3 linked regions of the Drosophila melanogaster genome follow. The protein of the gene in region 2 interacts with the protein of the main gene of each other region in a pairwise test. Each region holds a gene or a part of one and is shown on either strand. Other genes may lie near its edges.

Region 1 (4,596 bases), on a different chromosome or scaffold from region 2:
CTATTGTGGCATCGCATCCAAGGCGAGGGGCCACACTGTTTCCAATTAGAATAAAAACACTCACCGCTCGCCTGGTCACACTGGCACTGGCGAACAGCTGTTTTCCCAATCGAAAAGCGCTTGTGTTCCAAATTTTACGTAATTCGTATTTTGAAGCCGATTTCTGCCGTGTAGCCCCAAACGCCTAGCGAAATGTCGGCCCTCCGCCAAGTGATGTGCAGAAGCACCGCCTCCCTGCAGCTGTAGGTACCCCCGCCTGGCCGGAGCAAGTGCATCCGACCTGGCAAATCTGCAGCCCTCTAATTATCCACTTTCGCATCTTGACACCGCAGGTACCAGGCCAACAGGGCAGCCGCTGCCCGCTGGGCATCCACCGCCACGGACGGCGGTCCGCTGGACCCCAAGACGGCCCTGGCCCGCCCCGAAGAGCTGGAGCAGCGCAACAAGCTGAGTGGCAAGATCACCGTGCCGACTGCCGTCAATCTCAGCCCGATCAGCGGCGTTCCGGAGGAGCACATTCGGGAGCGCCGTGTGCGCATCCATATTCCGCCCAAGAACGCAATGCAGAGCGGCACCGATAACGTGAACACCTGGCAAATCGAGTTCGACAACCGCGAGCGCTGGGAGAATCCGCTCATGGGCTGGGCCTCCAGGTGAGTAGCTGGCACGTCCACCATGCCATGGCAACCTTGGTCAACGTCTCGTGTTCCAGCGGCGACCCATTGTCCAACATGAACGTGCAGTTCGGATCCCCAGAGGAGGCCATCACGTTCTGCGAACGGAACGGATGGCGCTGGTACGTCGACGGCGCCGCGAAGCCCAAGAAGGAGCGCGTCAAGAACTACGGCATCAACTTTGCCTGGAACAAGCGCACGCGCGTCTCCACCAAGTAGACGCTCCCCGCAGCTAGCCAGGATTATAGACCACAATTATCTGATTTTTTTTTTGCTTTGTTCATTATCTGAGTACCCAAATAAACAGTCGGCTGGACTCAAATGACCACAGCACCATGTAATGGCCACCAGTTTCGCTGCCAATGGAAGCGGCACCATCACATGCCGCTCTAATGACGAGCGGTTTGGGAGCGATGCCTATTGTGCTGCTTCTCGCGTGGCTCTCGCTCCTCCCGACGCCTATCGCCATGTCGATGCCTGCTCGGACTGCGGCTTCTCTTCCGGCTGTCATCATGATGCTGGTACCAATCTCTGCGCTCGTTGCGCCAGTCCCGATGCTCTTGTCGCTGTCCTCGGTCCTTGTGCTCCTTAAAACGATCCATTTGGTCGTTATGCCGCCCTCTGTCCTCCTGGTACCGCTGCCTGTGCTGCGTTTGCTCGTTGTGCCGCCATTGGTGCTCCTGAAACCGCTCCGCTGGCTTATCGCGTCGTCCCTTGTGATCCTGTTGCCGCTCCGTTTGCGTCCTTTGCTGGGATTGCTCAACATACCGTCCGCGGTGCTCCTGTCGGTCGACTTGCTTATGATGCCGCCCGCCGTGCTCCTGTTCCCACTGCTTCTCCAGCGCCTGCATCTGCAGGCTGACTAGCTGGTGCAGCTCCTCGTTGAGCGTGGGCTTGCTCTTGCGGTGGCGCCGATGATTCTTTTGCTGACGCCGGGTTTCGCCCACCACCTCGGCGAAGGCGGTGTTGTCCTGGAACTGCGGGTGCTTCTTGGTGTGCTTTAGAACGTGCTCGTAGATGAGCAGCCGCTGACTCGCGTCGAGTCCTGCCTGCAGATCATCAAAGGAGGCAGCAGGAAGGAGGCGTCGTGCTCTTTCGGTGCCCACAATGCCCTGAATAGTCGAGTCATCGAGCTGGATGCTAAAGTCGGGATTGTTGCTGCATGACGCCGGCAATGGCAATGGCTCTAACACCTCCGATTTAGTTGCGCCGTTTTTGTCCTGTGGTCTGTGGCTACCCGCCCCCATCACCCCGCGCTCGCTCCAACCGAAGCGCTGCAGGATGACGTGGAGACGCCTCCTGCTGGCTGTCACAAAAAGACGCAGCTGTTCTCGCTTCTCGTCCACATCTTCGCCAGACATTTTTAGCCAGCGCGAAACAGAACAGAACAGAACAGCAAGTGTTGGGAAAGCCCGAAATGTGCGGCCAGTGCTGCAGAACGCAGCGTGTATTTACAGTCCTAGAAAGTTTGGAATATCTAATCTATGGTGCCATTCGGCTCCTGGAGGGGATGCGGGATGCAGGAGCTCAGCTCCAAAAGAGAACGGTGAAGGCCATGATCAGGCAGGCGGCTCCTACCCACGGCGACTTGCGCTCCCCAATCCTTGCCAGCTTCCAGAAGGTGCCCATGAATCTGCAAACAGACAGCAGACGAGTGTTGAGTGTGGTAACAATCAGTGGACTGGTCAGGGCGGGAACGGGCACCTACCCGGTCTTGTTGCGGTCTATCAAGCTGGGGAAGAGCGAGCGCAGGTAGGCACAGGTGCAGATCAGCAGCAGGATGACCGACAGCAGGCTGTGGAAGTTGAACAGGGCGCTCTGTGGAGGGAAACGGTGCTAAGTGTACGACGGAGGAGTATCGGTTAGGTGAGCGTTTCAAACCATGATTTAGCAAATCGAAATCCGTGCTTGGCGATAGAATAACAACAAGCGGTAAACTAGTGACGTGCCAGCCGCTCGGCGCAGGCGAACTGGTTCCAAAACTGGAATCTCACGTTTCGACTGATTCGATAGGTGGTTAATCAACTGTTAGAATGATAAGGAATGTTACAATGTTTAGGAGTTAATATAAGAATATATTTATATTAAATACATATTTTGGCGACCTACTTCCATTATCTGGGATGGACATTGGATAAATATTTTACAATAGAAAGTAACAAGCTCTTAGCCAAGTTCCCACAGGGAGCATAAAAACGCCATAGGAAGTATTGAAAAGTGCAAGAGTTTACAAAAGACATCGTATACAAAAAAACGTAAGCTTAATTTCGATAGTATCGGAACTTGTATTGCAATCCAACCGTGGGTCAAGTAAATGAAATAAGATAAGACTTTGTTTCAATTAACGTTGGCAGTGGAGCTTCCCCCAATTGAAATATGTGCCAATGGAATCGGGCTATTAGGTCAAGTGAATTCAATCGACTGGCGCGGAACAGCAATCGATGGGTCCACACTTATCGCACATAGTATCGCATAAACATCGACGCAGTGGGCCACCTCTAGCAATTTGTCTGCAACTTCTAATTCGCTGCGGGTATTTTTTTTGTGTTTGTTGTTACATATAATCCGATCAATTTCGATCGCCCGCTTGGCAAATCAGTGTCTTGCTGTTCCGATTGGTGAGCTTTGGCCAATTCTCGGCGAGCGTCAGTAAATCGTTCGATTTGGCTTTAAGTCCGCCCGTGCTTTTGCGTTTTCCTTGGCTCTTTTCTTCATTTTTGTGGCCCGTTTTCGTTTTCCACTTGGTATCGCGAGGGGATGAAGGAGGGGAGCAGGAGCGGAGAATCCCGACCGAGTGCATCCCCAATGTGTGTGCGTGTACGTCTGTGAATACGATGGTGCTGCCAATGCAATTGTAACTGAGCGCGCTCATAAAAATCAAAAGTATATTTAGATATACATGTACATATATATAATAATCGGATACGTTTTCTCATTGCCCCCCCTGTCGGTGTGTGTGCGTGTGTATTTAAATCAGTAATACAGTGTGTGTGTGACGAGCGCGCTGGGTTTTGTTGTTAAGTGCGAGTGAGTAAGAGAGAGGGAACACGAGCGAGACAGCAGCCGGAGCAACAGAGAGGCAAACAGGAACTGCAACAAGAAAAACAATAACATTCTGTGGCAGCAGCAGCAGCGATGACTTCCAGTCGCTGCACTGGCAAAGCGGTAAGTTCCCGACTGCAATATTAAGCTAAGCTATGATCCGCGAATCGGTTCCTTGCATGTGTATTTATGTAAGTACACACACACACCCGCACGCGCGCCAAACACACGCACTTGCGTGTATCGTTGACGTCGGCGATTACAGCACTGTTAGCTGCTAACAGCACAGTGACGGCCACTCGCATAGATCCGCGCCAAAGTTATCGGAGTGCCCCACTCGAGGGGCGGTAAATCGTGAGTGAAAAGTGTAAAATACAAACAGTATATGCTCTTTTAACCCCACCCCCAATTTTAAAGTGCTACGGTTTAAAGTGCTGCGAACCGGAGGTGAGTTGCATTATTATATCCTCTTCCAGTGCTTTCATGACACATTCACCCATGGACCTACACCCGCGAACACCAAAACACTACGCACATGCGCAGAGCGGCCACCGACACCGATAACACACCAATGCAATGCAAAAAAGTCGCGCTCTAGTGTGCGCTCTTTATTTTTGTTTTTAGTTTCGCTCCACTCTGCCTTCTGTATTCATCGGGTGCATTTATTGTTATCGGTTTCTCTTCCAGCAAAGTCGGTAATCGCTGCGTGTGCCTCGATTCGTAAACGGTAAACAAGCAATATTTTGTTTTTCATGCTGATTATCATGTTGATGAATGAAGGAGCATTTACGCAATTGTTTTGTGAATTTTCCGCTGTACACTGAAAGATTCTCTTTGTGGTTTCTCCATCTCCCTCGCTCTCTCTCGCTGGCCGATGGCC
Region 2 (6,158 bases):
GTAGAATGGACAGTCGATACAGATAAAATATTATATTCTTAATTCCAAATTAGCACGAAAAATACGTGGTATTTATTATGATACAAAAAAATATATTTTATGCATAATCCTTATCGTTTTGATATTTTTATTTTATCGTTATGAATTATTGATATGTTATTTTATTGTTATATATTTTTAAATTCCAACATTTTGCTGTGTAGCACCCTTGAACTTGTTGTGAACTCAGGCAAGGTTTTCTGGGGGCTGGAGCCTAATTTATTCACCTAGCAGTAGCTTTTTAGGAATTCTAAAATCAAGTCGCGTAATAAATGCATTGGTCTGCCTGCAGACTTGTCCCAGTCCCAATTAAAATGTGTGTCATATATGCATGAGATTTTTGGCGCCTGATTTTGGGAATACCAAATTCAACGGGCACTCCAGTGAAATGCAAATATTCTAATGCATAGAGCTTGAAAGGTGCCAGAAAGTCGGAAATATGCCTTTAATGCGCCTCGCCTCAATTTGAATGCGGTTCAACGATTGACATTGACATGTGCCAAGGCTAGCATCAGATCAACATATCTGTTATCATCGGTCGGTCTCAAGATGAATTGAAGGTATATGCCACGCAGAAAAATATTCTTGTTCATATCTGGAAACGAATATTAAAATTTCGTTCGTTAGGGATTTTAAGATTGGCAGCTTTATTAAATTTGTTTTCACAAACCAAGATTTTATCCTTTAAATATATTTCGCTGTGAAATTTCTTGAATTTTCTATTAGCCTCAACATCCCTGATAAATGGCTCGCGTTTAGCGCCATGCGGGCGCAGCATGCGAAAAATCTTCCATTTGGGTTGATTTCTCGCATTGAGGTGTTTTGTTGGTCAACGCCAAACATGTGCTTGCCACATGCCCCGTTTCGGACCCATTTTCAATACCAAACTCAAGCCTGTCCAGGCGAAGGTGTGAACTATTTGGCCTGGTGCCTTATCTACACTTAGAAAAATATTGACATAAAATGGATTTTTGAACGGTGTTAAACAAAACGGTGTTTGTTTTAAACAAAATACTTCAAAATTCGTAAAATACGATTATCGTTAAAACCCATCGTAACCATTTAAATATACCCTTTCATACCATTTACATACTTAATTATTTAAAATAGAAGAGGTTCAACATATATTTTCCGTTTTCCAAACTAGTTGACATTTTTTGCGGTGTAACTGTGATAGCTGTGTACCTTCAAAGTCCCATGTGCCAGTCTCTCTCACCTTGGTCCTACCTTCGACTTCGCTGGGCTCTCCGTTTTCCCATGAGGGAGTTCTCCTGGCCCGCTCACATATGTCGGAACTCCAACTGCGGAGCTGGGAAAACAAACAGGACTGGCGGTACTGGTTACACATGTGTGAGCTGGCCGGACCGGAGCACGTACTATGCGCGTAGGTGCGACTCCTTGGATTCCCCAGTTCTCCAGTTCCCACACATCCTGGCCGGGCCACATGATGATGTTGCTGTGCTTTTCCCGTAGCGCCAGGCGTGTCCAAATGTTTTGTTGCGGAATTCCTCAAGGCGAGGAATCTCGCACACATTACGAGTAGTCGGCGCTCGCGGAAAAAAAACACACGAGCCAAAGTTACATATGTTCTTTGGGCCATTTATTCAAGAAATTTCCATGTCGGCCGAAAAGGGATTTCCTTGTAGGCGGCGTTTTCCCACGATTTTATAACTGGGCTCGACTTCCCATCTTCCCACCGTCCATGTGTTGCTGGGAAATCGGCGTTGCCTTTGGTTTTTTGCCTTGCGGGGGAAAAGTTCTGATTTGAGTGCGCTCGAGACTTTCCAGCTAGGAGCAGGACATGTGGCCGGTAGCCAGTGCCACTCAGTACCTCACTCAGTCTAATGGCCAGAACACCGCGGTCATCTCGAGTGGACAGGTTGTAAAGTGGCCACACCCGCCGACCGGACACTTGACTCTATGCGCCGGCGCAGCATCGCAGGTAGTCATCTGGAACAGGTAAACATTTGCCAATATCTCACGCTGACCTATGACACGTGTCAGGTGTCTTTGTCGTGGATTCGGGCAAGTGTGAAACAACCTACTACCTGTTGAGGCAATAATGATTATGAATACGAATGAATTAACACGGAGAACGATAAGAGGGCCAATTGCATTTGTTCCTTCTTCCAAAACGAGCTGCAAACGGCAGCTAATTGTATTTTAATAATTATAAATCCGTGTTAAATTGTTTGAAATTTAATAAATTGGTTCCTTTGCAAAAACAGCTTAAATGGAAATACTGCAATTTTGTCCATATTTTATTGTCATCGAATTTTTCAAATGGAATATTGCTAAATCTAGCACTTATGAAAATCAAAAAGGACTACGTATTAATATACCCAGACAAGAAAAATCGGAATTTAGCTAGTTGCAGTGGCCTGCTGAGCACCCGGAAATCCAAATCCGGAAGAGTTGAAGTCACCGTATCCTTCATTGGCATCAGGCATGATATGCGGTTCACGATTTCGGAACTGTTCCGCCGCGAAACGTGTAAAAAATATGCCTAAGCCCTCGATCATTGAGAGCAGTACGCCACCGATAATTGCACTTCCAGCCATGGCCGCCGCTCCATTGCGTGAGGCCAGAATTCCACCAGTAACTGCTCCGCTCACTATCGAGTTCCAGGGATCCTCCTTTTGGCGAAAGTGGACCAGACTGCAGTCCACAATGCTGAACACTGCACCCCAGGCGGCGAAACTTCCACCTATCACCGGAGATTTGGTCTTGATGGCAGCCACACTGCCGGCGACCCTGCGTCCTAGTCCCTGTGGTGCGTTCCGGAATCCCTTGAGTCCCTGGAAGAGCCCGCCTCCAACGCAGCCCATGATAAAGGCTCCTCCGCAGTCGTCGACGATGCGATGGGGACACGGTTCCCGCGAATACTCCTCCATCTTTGCACTTTTCCACTGGCAGGATTTCCTATCACTGGCCGAAATTAAAAACTGAATTTGCTAAATTTCAAGCCTTCTGCTTATTTTCTACAAATGAGTTATATGTGACTTGGCGTCGCTCGATATGTATAAGGAAATTATGAGTTTTGTGTCTGTCAATTCCAGAGTTTGTTGTGAATTGTGCGACTAAGCTTGCTACATACCTAGTAGATTTAAAATCATGGAGAACATGTCCAGGAACTCAAATTTCAAACTACAGGTTGTAAGTAAGAAGTACTTGGTTTTGTTTGTGCCCCCACCAGACACCCATTAGCATATGAACCAGAGTCAGAGCAAACAGAGTCGCACGTGGATCGGGGATCTTTTGCCCCGAAGCTCAATGGCACAAAAAGGTTAAATAGCACAAATGTCGGACCGTAGTTAACCATAAAATTTACTGCCGCAGCTGGACAACTTCGGCTCGAGAATGGGGAGGGGACGGGGGATTGGGATTCGGATTGGGATGGGGATGGGGCCATTCGAAAGACGCAATTCGTACAAAGGCAAAGCCAGACGGTGGGAAACGGAAACAATGAGACCGATTGTCGTCGACCGATAAAGCCAAGCCGAACCAAACCAGAACTCCAGACCCAATACTATTTTATACTGCGTATGTCAAACTACTTCAGGAGGGAAGCTTACGATTGCATGCATAATTATCACGCGAGCATAATCGAAATTTTGAAACTGCCGCAACTGTGTTTGCTTAGCTCGAAAAAGGGGGAAGTCTTCGCATTCGGGCCCTCGATGGATATCTCCGCATAACAAGGTGTCAGACAGCAGTGACAAATGAAAGCGAAACCCCGATCGAAACCGAAATCGATGGGCAGGCATTTAAGTATGAGGGGACACCTGGACACACACGAAGCGCCAGTCCATTGTTCAACAGGACAAATCTCGTCAACTTGACATGTAAATCGTTAGAACGTGTTGCACTCGATTGATTGCTCTCACTCCCGAGAAGGTTATCGGGGATCATTTGACGGGAAATGGCTGCAGGATAAGACATTATATATAATTTGTAAATGTAAATACTGGGCATATTGTTTGCCACTGCTGCGGGATTTCCAATGAAATCTTCATTTCCACGGTAATTGTTGTCGCTTATAAATGATTTAGATGGGATTAGATCGATGTGGTGTTAATGTGGGCACATTATGCGAAAGGATTGGCCATTCCGTTCTAGGACGCGATCCGACCATGGGTTTCCCACGAATTCCGGAGATTCGAGCCTTACAGTTTTCTGGGAAGTCACAGGCCAAATGGAATTGGCCTACTAGCCCATTTAGTAATTTTATTAACATTATTTGTTGTTAAAATACCAACGTATTATGTGAAATTAAAAAAACTGCAGTTGTCTTTGGATACAGAACAATTTAAAACCATATTCAAAATTTTAAGAACAGCATTCTACAACTGTAAATCGAGCTCCACAATGTACGCTACAGAAATGCAGGTTTGGTAATCTATTGTGGCAATGTTTTTTAAAACAATAATGATTATGTAAACAGTAAAAACTCAAAAATTATAATATCGAACAGATATGATCTCTAAAACGGTTCCGTTTTCCATCTTCCGATCTCCGAATGCTCCGTTAGAGGCCAGTGTTTGGGCAGCTGTGATGCAACATTTTGTTATATCTTAAGGAATATGCATCTGCATAACCCACTACAAAGGGAATCCAGAACGGAACTCATTTGCCCGCTCGAAGAGAATCCCTGCACATGCCAAAACGCCAGCCAGAACAAAGGGGGCGAAACAATTGCGGTTGCATTACCCCAGCAGTCCAATTCAAATTCCGACAGCCTCCAGCCGGGCAATGAAATTCAAAAATTCAAAATCAAAGGGCAGGCCTGAGTCGACAAAGGATGTGACTCAGGTAGGACCCCGGGCCTGCCGCCAAAAAAAAAAAAGAAATGCTGAAAAATCTCGAATGGTGCACTATTGTTGTGTCCTGTGCCCTGACTGTGATTACTCGTATTCCGATGTCGATCATAAATGCGGTAGTTTAATGCACTCTAAGAAACCAGTATTTGCTTTAAGTACAAAATAAAATTCGTAGAACCGACTGACTTAAAAAAAAGTATAATGAATTTGAAATCTTAGCTTAAGAAATCTTCTAGAAATTTAATAAGCCTAGCTAAGCTCATTTTAAAGTGTCCTATTCCGTGTGTATAATATATGGGAGTAGTAATACTACTTAACACTACAATTTGTAGAAAAATACTATACTTAGATATGCAAACATTTTTATTAACTAGAATTGTTTGCAATTTTGCCATACTTTTTTGCCTGGTGTACTCGCCAAATTCCCCATCTCTGCACTCAGCATTGTACGCCCGCAGATGCAAGTCAACGTCCGAATCAAGTCTCGATTTTTTGGGCTGAGGGCAAACAGATGCACATCTTGCCAAAAACCAAAACCCAAGAGCTGAAAACGAAAAACCCAAGCCGATGGCCCAAGACGAAGACGCGCCAAAGGAGAAGAATCCTGGGCTGAGCTGCAGCTGTCAATGCCAAGCCACCAACGCGCCACCCTCGAGTTGACATTATTTCCAGCACCGATTTGTGCTGATTCCTGATTTCAAAATGCTCCTGCCTGCCCGCAGGCGCAGATGCGATATCCTCTGGGTTTCCTTGGTGCATTGTTGTTGTCCGTTCACCCGTCCGCCCGGTGCAATGATTTTTTCTTAACGGCTCCTTGTCTGCTTTGTGTTTGTGCGGGTTTTTTTTTTTTTTTGCTCTGCACAAGGAGCATCTAAGGTCCTGCCAAAAAGGTGTTGGAAATCTTGTTAATAGGGGAGTTTGTTTCATCGGCCTGACCTGGCATAACGTGGTGGGCGTCTGGCAAAGGAGATAAGATGTCCCATATATTTAGGGATAAAGTAATATAAAAAACCACTGGTTGAATGAGAAACTTCTTAGTCTGATAATTCCATTTTTCCCTAACTCAACTATATGTAATTAACTTAATCAAAATAATAACAAAATGAATTTATTGGGATATGTTTTATTATTTTTATATATATGTAGAAGAAAGTATAATTCGGTTAAGCACAAAATGGTGGCTCTCCTTTTCGGAAGCGTTTCCAAGCGGAAATCACTATAATCATTAGTGAATAATCACATTCAACCCCTGTAGTAAATTTCACCAGACAAAAAACTCTCCCTTTTTTTATGTAGTCC
Region 3 (5,141 bases), on a different chromosome or scaffold from region 2:
TCACTTAAGATATGAAATCATTCATCATTCTTCCGTAAAGTCGTAAGGGCAGTGCTATTTGCCGACCGCCGCTGCATCTATTATTCCATATAAGTCACCTGAATCTGAATCGAATATCTCAATTCTGGTTATTACAAAACGAAACACAAATGCCAAAACAAACCAATGCAGACCGACGAGGATCAGCCGCATGCCTATATTCAGACCTTCGTATTGAAGCCGGTGGGCGGCAGTTTCTTTGTGCAGCACGATATATTCCGACTCTCGCTGCACGATGTGTAGCACCAGCGAGCCCGACCTGCCACGCCCAGTCCACAGACTCCAGCGCCCGGCTATATGTGTGTAAATCGAGATCGAGATCAGCAGCCAAACGATCAGCCAGCAGACACGAGACGAGAGCCAGTTAAAAAACGAAAGAAATCCATATCTAAGCGATAAGATAGTTCTGCTGCTTGTCGACCTTATGCCGCCCAGCCATGCCCACTCCGCCCACATATACAAAAATATTTATCCTTGGCGTCTCGTCGTCGTCCAATTTCTTCTAATTATTCTCACAGTACGTGAATGTCCAACGAAAATTAATCAAATCAAAATGTTGCGCATTTCATTTCGTGCATGGTTTTCGTTGATTTTGAGTTGGATTTGCTCTTTCTTTCGGTTGGTCGCTGGGGACCTGGAACCTCCTAATAATGCAATTTTAATGTAACACAAACAATTTCTGTAACCTCTATTGCTTTACATTTTTAACTAAACGGTTTATATTTATATTATATTTTTAGATGCTTTCAATTGATATTGCACTTATAAAAATTCTGTTTTTCATTTGTTACAAAACCAAATACCAATTGACTAGTCTTAACTTGCATATTGTTTTGTTCAATAGCTCGAAGAAGAGAACTGTAAATATCCCAAATTGTTAAGCGCACCCTAATATGCCTTAAAAAAAAAACTTTCAAATGTTGTTCAATTTTGAATGGAACTGAGGAAAGTTTTGAGAAGTTCTTATATCAGTGAATAATAATTTTGCTCGCACATTTGGTATAAAGTTTATTCTGCTCGTGAAAATGTTTTGGAGTTATGTTCAATTTATCGAGCGAGCCCTGTACAGTAAACACGCACCTTACACGATCAATCGGCTGCCAGTTGTACACCCTTTCCCTCTGACCCTGGCTTCAAACTGTGTGTACTCCATTCATATCTAACTCAATACGTTGAAATTGGTTTTTCGCACGCTTGTGTTATTGACTTTAAATGTGACTGGTTTGCCTGGCATCTGCTAACGTATTTATGATTTCATTCCTTTGCAGTGCGATGACGATCCCCCACATGCCTTCTCGCAGGTCTTTTTCCTGAAGGCCAACGCAGGCACCTTCTTTGTGGCCCACGACATCTTCCGTCTCAACATCCACAACTCTGCCTAGGAGCACTCCACTTACCTACGTATGCACACCACTCAGCACCACACATAATCGACATCCAAAGATGCCCAGCGCCAGATGATAACAACAAGCTCGGCAGTGGAACTCAGAAAAAAAAAATATAACAAAGCCAGCCAGCGGTCTCACGATTATCAGCAAATACAAAAGTTAGAAAAAGAAAAAAAAAAAAAAAACAATAAAAAAATAAGAAAATAACGCTAACTACTATTACGATGTCAACAAAATGGGCCGCCAGCTCACCTTCATTTGTGTCCCATTGTTGCCGGTACTCTCGCTTTACGATCCACGGAACCCTAGAATTATATGTTCTGCGAACACCTGGATCTCGCGATCTAATTTAGCTAGGACTATCGAATTTGGTGGTATGTGCCGTGCTACAAGCTCGTATTTCGAATTCCCGTGAAATGAGCAGGAACAGCAGGCCGGGATCATCGCCTACATAAGTTTAGAGTGATTTTCTAGACCGTTTATATTTCCAATTGAATTATTTGTACTTTAATTATGAGGATTATTTTAGATAGCCGTATTGCAAATGTATTGTGTCGAGTGTCTCGCTCTGTAAACAATTACTTGAGTACCGGGACTGCACCACACACAGTCGCAAGTATCGACTCTTGCTTTCTCATATGACTAATTGAGCGATGGCGAATTACTTTTTATTGAGAGAAAAAAAAAACACTTAAATATAAAGATAAACGTTAACAGTTTGGTTGTTTGTATGATTGGCGGAATGGCCAGTTGAACCGGAAAGATATGTATACCCTTATAAGCTATTAAATGCATACGAAAGAAGCTCCAGCGGATCTGGCCAGTGGTTTCCGTCTAAAAACTGAACGATTCACTTGTCGCGAAATGTGAACACCGCATCGAATCCGAATAGCACCCCATTGACGATGGACAGCGAGGCCTTGATGAGCGCGAGATCCCGAGTTCGGGTGCGGAAGGAGAACTCCCAGGCCTCAATGATGAACACACCGCTGGCCACGAACAAGGTGCAGCCCAGGACGCTGAAGAATATATCGATGCGCTTGTGAATGGGTGCCCGCATCAGAACGCCTGCAATTGCAAGGTATCTTAAGTAGATTTGTGTGCAAATTTCGTTTTTGGTTAACTTATTTTAGTATTTTAACTCTTAAGGACTGGCATTCCAAGGCGTACCTGCAAAGACCCCGATGACCACTATGATGTAGCCCGTGAAGGTGCCAGTGGCCAGGAACGAAGTCATTATATCGCGATCGTTGAAGCTGTAGAAGTGGAGCACCAGACACGCTACCGCAAAACCCTGGAAAAGTGAGGGGATTTTCATTTGTGGTGCTTCTTGGTGTTCTTATAATTTCCGAGTCTATCTGGTATTTCGGGTCTTTTCTTTTAATTCCCAAGTCGTTTTTTTTTTTTTTTTTTTTTTTTTTGACAAACCATTGTTTAGTAAGCATACGCGTTGCTTTTTGCATTAATTCATTAATCCTTAGAACTTGCAGTAAAATCACTTGAAAAAAAAATCCTTTACCAGTTCGAGAAACTTGACCACATTGAGGCGGCCTTTTCGCTCGCCATGAGACATTTTGTGAAACTGCTGCCGCTGACAGTCCTCGAAAATGTGGTCCAGCTTGAAAATGTACGTGTCGCAACTCAAGAAAGTTCCAAAGTTCTTCCGATTGGCCTCTTTGGAGCGTGCTCGCGACGGCAGAGCGCTGGACAAACTGATTCTGATTCGGAAATGGATGACGGATGGCAGGCAAATGCGGCTGCAGTTTGCAGTTGGGCGCAGTCGGGCCCAGCCAGCGAAATTAATTAATTACACTTAGGAAATAGGCTTTTCATTCTTGTTCCCATCCCTGTGTATCCGCCCACGTCCACCACGTCCGCCGGGCCTCTCGGTTCCATCTCTGAAGTGGAGACCGTCTGCGTTCTCCGCTGCCAGCTGCACTCGAGCCCCATCCCTTCCAGCTTGATTGAGTGGAGCATAATGTCTGTATCTGCATGCATGCTCTGTGCCGGTGGGTGGCCAGTGGACAGTGGGCAGCCGCCCAATGGACTCGGACTCATTGTGCTCGCATTGCCATTACCCCAAATTTGCTGCCTAACCTTCGGGGCCCAAGATCGGAGCTAATTCGCGGAATCGGGGCCAACGGGTCGCCAATTTTCCGATGGTAATCAAGTGGATAATGGAAAACATATCGCCGGGGAAATCACTTCCTCAAATCATGAATAATCTTATGGACTTCATGGGAATTATTAGGTTGTAAGGTTGTGTTGCAACGCTTTTCAGATATAAAAGTGGATTTGTAATGCATGGAATATATTTTTTAATATATTACAAGTACTGTACTTTTTAAGTGCAATTAAAAGCTTAGAGCAACATAAAAAGTAAGCCGAATTTTATATACCCTTCACCTATAGTAACTTAGCTACCACTAGCTTGGACGACTACAGTCGTCCTGTTTTAATAAAATGTATTTTATTTCTATTTATTTTTCCTGTATTTTTTACGAACGTTAAACTGCAAATCCCATTCCGCTCGCTCCTAGTTCAGCTAAATTATATAGTTTATATAAAATTAGATTAGTAATTACATTTCCGACCCGGCCTGTTATTGCCTTATCTAATACCTGCAATAGGTTTAATAGTTTAAGTAAATACGATTACGTGGAAATAAACAGACACGGTAAGATTTAGTTGGGTGTCAATTCTGACTAAAAATATATATCTAAGTAATATATACTTTGTTCCTGACTAAAACAATAACACTTCCTGTGTTCTATGGTCAATTTGAAAACATGCAAAATAAGTTGTTACAGCTGAACAAATCTATTTTTAATTTTTAAATTAGTTCTCTATAGAGTGTTTATGCCACATGTTGAACCTATTTATCTTAACTTAACATCAACTGCTTTATTAATTTCAAAACCTAACCATTAAAATAAATATATGTTTTTAGAATAATTTCGGCTGGTAGCAAGCAGAAGTACATATACGATTATTTATTATCAAAAGCCCAGCTTATCAGTTTGAAGGCAACTTTTGATATGATTCAACGCAGACACAGGTGCGCATTGAAACTATATTTAGACCTTCTTATCGCTTCAATGTTTTGATTAATCCGTATTTTCTGTTTCAATTTTGAAAATGCATTTTTCAAGACCTTACTACCAGAACGAAATCCAATTGAGCTTTGGCAAGCTTTTTGTTTCAGCAATTTTACGGTAATTAGCAGCAATTCCCATGCTATTGTAGTTCTATTAAAAGTTAATCGCCAGCACTTTACAGTGACAGCAAAACTAGTTATACTAGTTGCGAACTATGATCGAAAATGATACCCCACCGAGCTACATGGTTACAAGACTAAGAATTTTTCAGGTACAACTTTCACTGAAATATAGAACTCCGAAAATAATGCATTGTAAGAGAATACAAGAAAAATTATTCAGCATGTTGATAAATTCAAATTAAATAGAAGAAAACATTTTCCGAACTACCTAATCTATATAATCAATCATAAAACCCGAAACAAAATCGGAATTTAAAGAACAAGATTCACTCAAATCGATATACCCAACCTACAAGGTATCAACTGCTTCTGTTTTCAAACCCAACCCGATTGCAACCGATGTCAGTATGCAAGTGCACCTGCAGCTATCAAAATGCTTAACCCCGAACTCATGTCGCTGGAGAACCAGGTGTTCCGATGCTACCTGGGATGGT

What was found. Proteins that work in one complex are often made in the same cells at the same time.
Region 1: the proteins of Tim17b2 (region 2) and ksh interact in a two-hybrid assay, tested with the Drosophila melanogaster proteins (one large-scale study listed by BioGRID).
Region 3: the proteins of Tim17b2 (region 2) and CG15449 interact in a two-hybrid assay, tested with the Drosophila melanogaster proteins (one large-scale study listed by BioGRID).

What each region holds. Positions count from the first base shown.
Region 1 is NC_004354.4:19,492,345-19,496,940, forward strand, and holds ksh (kish), read right to left. Parts: upstream 2,649-4,596; 5' UTR 2,559-2,648; coding exon 2,556-2,558; intron 2,493-2,555; coding exon 2,383-2,492; intron 2,308-2,382; coding exon 2,202-2,307; 3' UTR 2,076-2,201; downstream 1-2,075. Other genes in the region: ND-18 (NADH dehydrogenase (ubiquinone) 18 kDa subunit), read left to right, coding at 193-242, 333-653, 713-893; CG12204 (uncharacterized protein), read right to left, coding at 1,064-2,035.
Region 2 is NT_033779.5:15,481,612-15,487,769, reverse strand, and holds Tim17b2 (translocase inner membrane 17), read right to left. Parts: upstream 3,042-6,158; 5' UTR 2,934-3,041; coding exon 2,403-2,933; 3' UTR 2,225-2,402; downstream 1-2,224.
Region 3 is NC_004354.4:21,037,439-21,042,579, forward strand, and holds CG15449 (uncharacterized protein), read right to left. Parts: upstream 3,168-5,141; 5' UTR 3,001-3,167; coding exon 2,947-3,000; exon of another isoform or gene 2,722-2,946; coding exon 2,598-2,721; exon of another isoform or gene 2,577-2,597; intron 2,509-2,576; exon of another isoform or gene 2,496-2,508; coding exon 2,278-2,495; 3' UTR 2,076-2,277; downstream 1-2,075. Other genes in the region: Ntf-2 (nuclear transport factor-2), read left to right, coding at 1,308-1,421.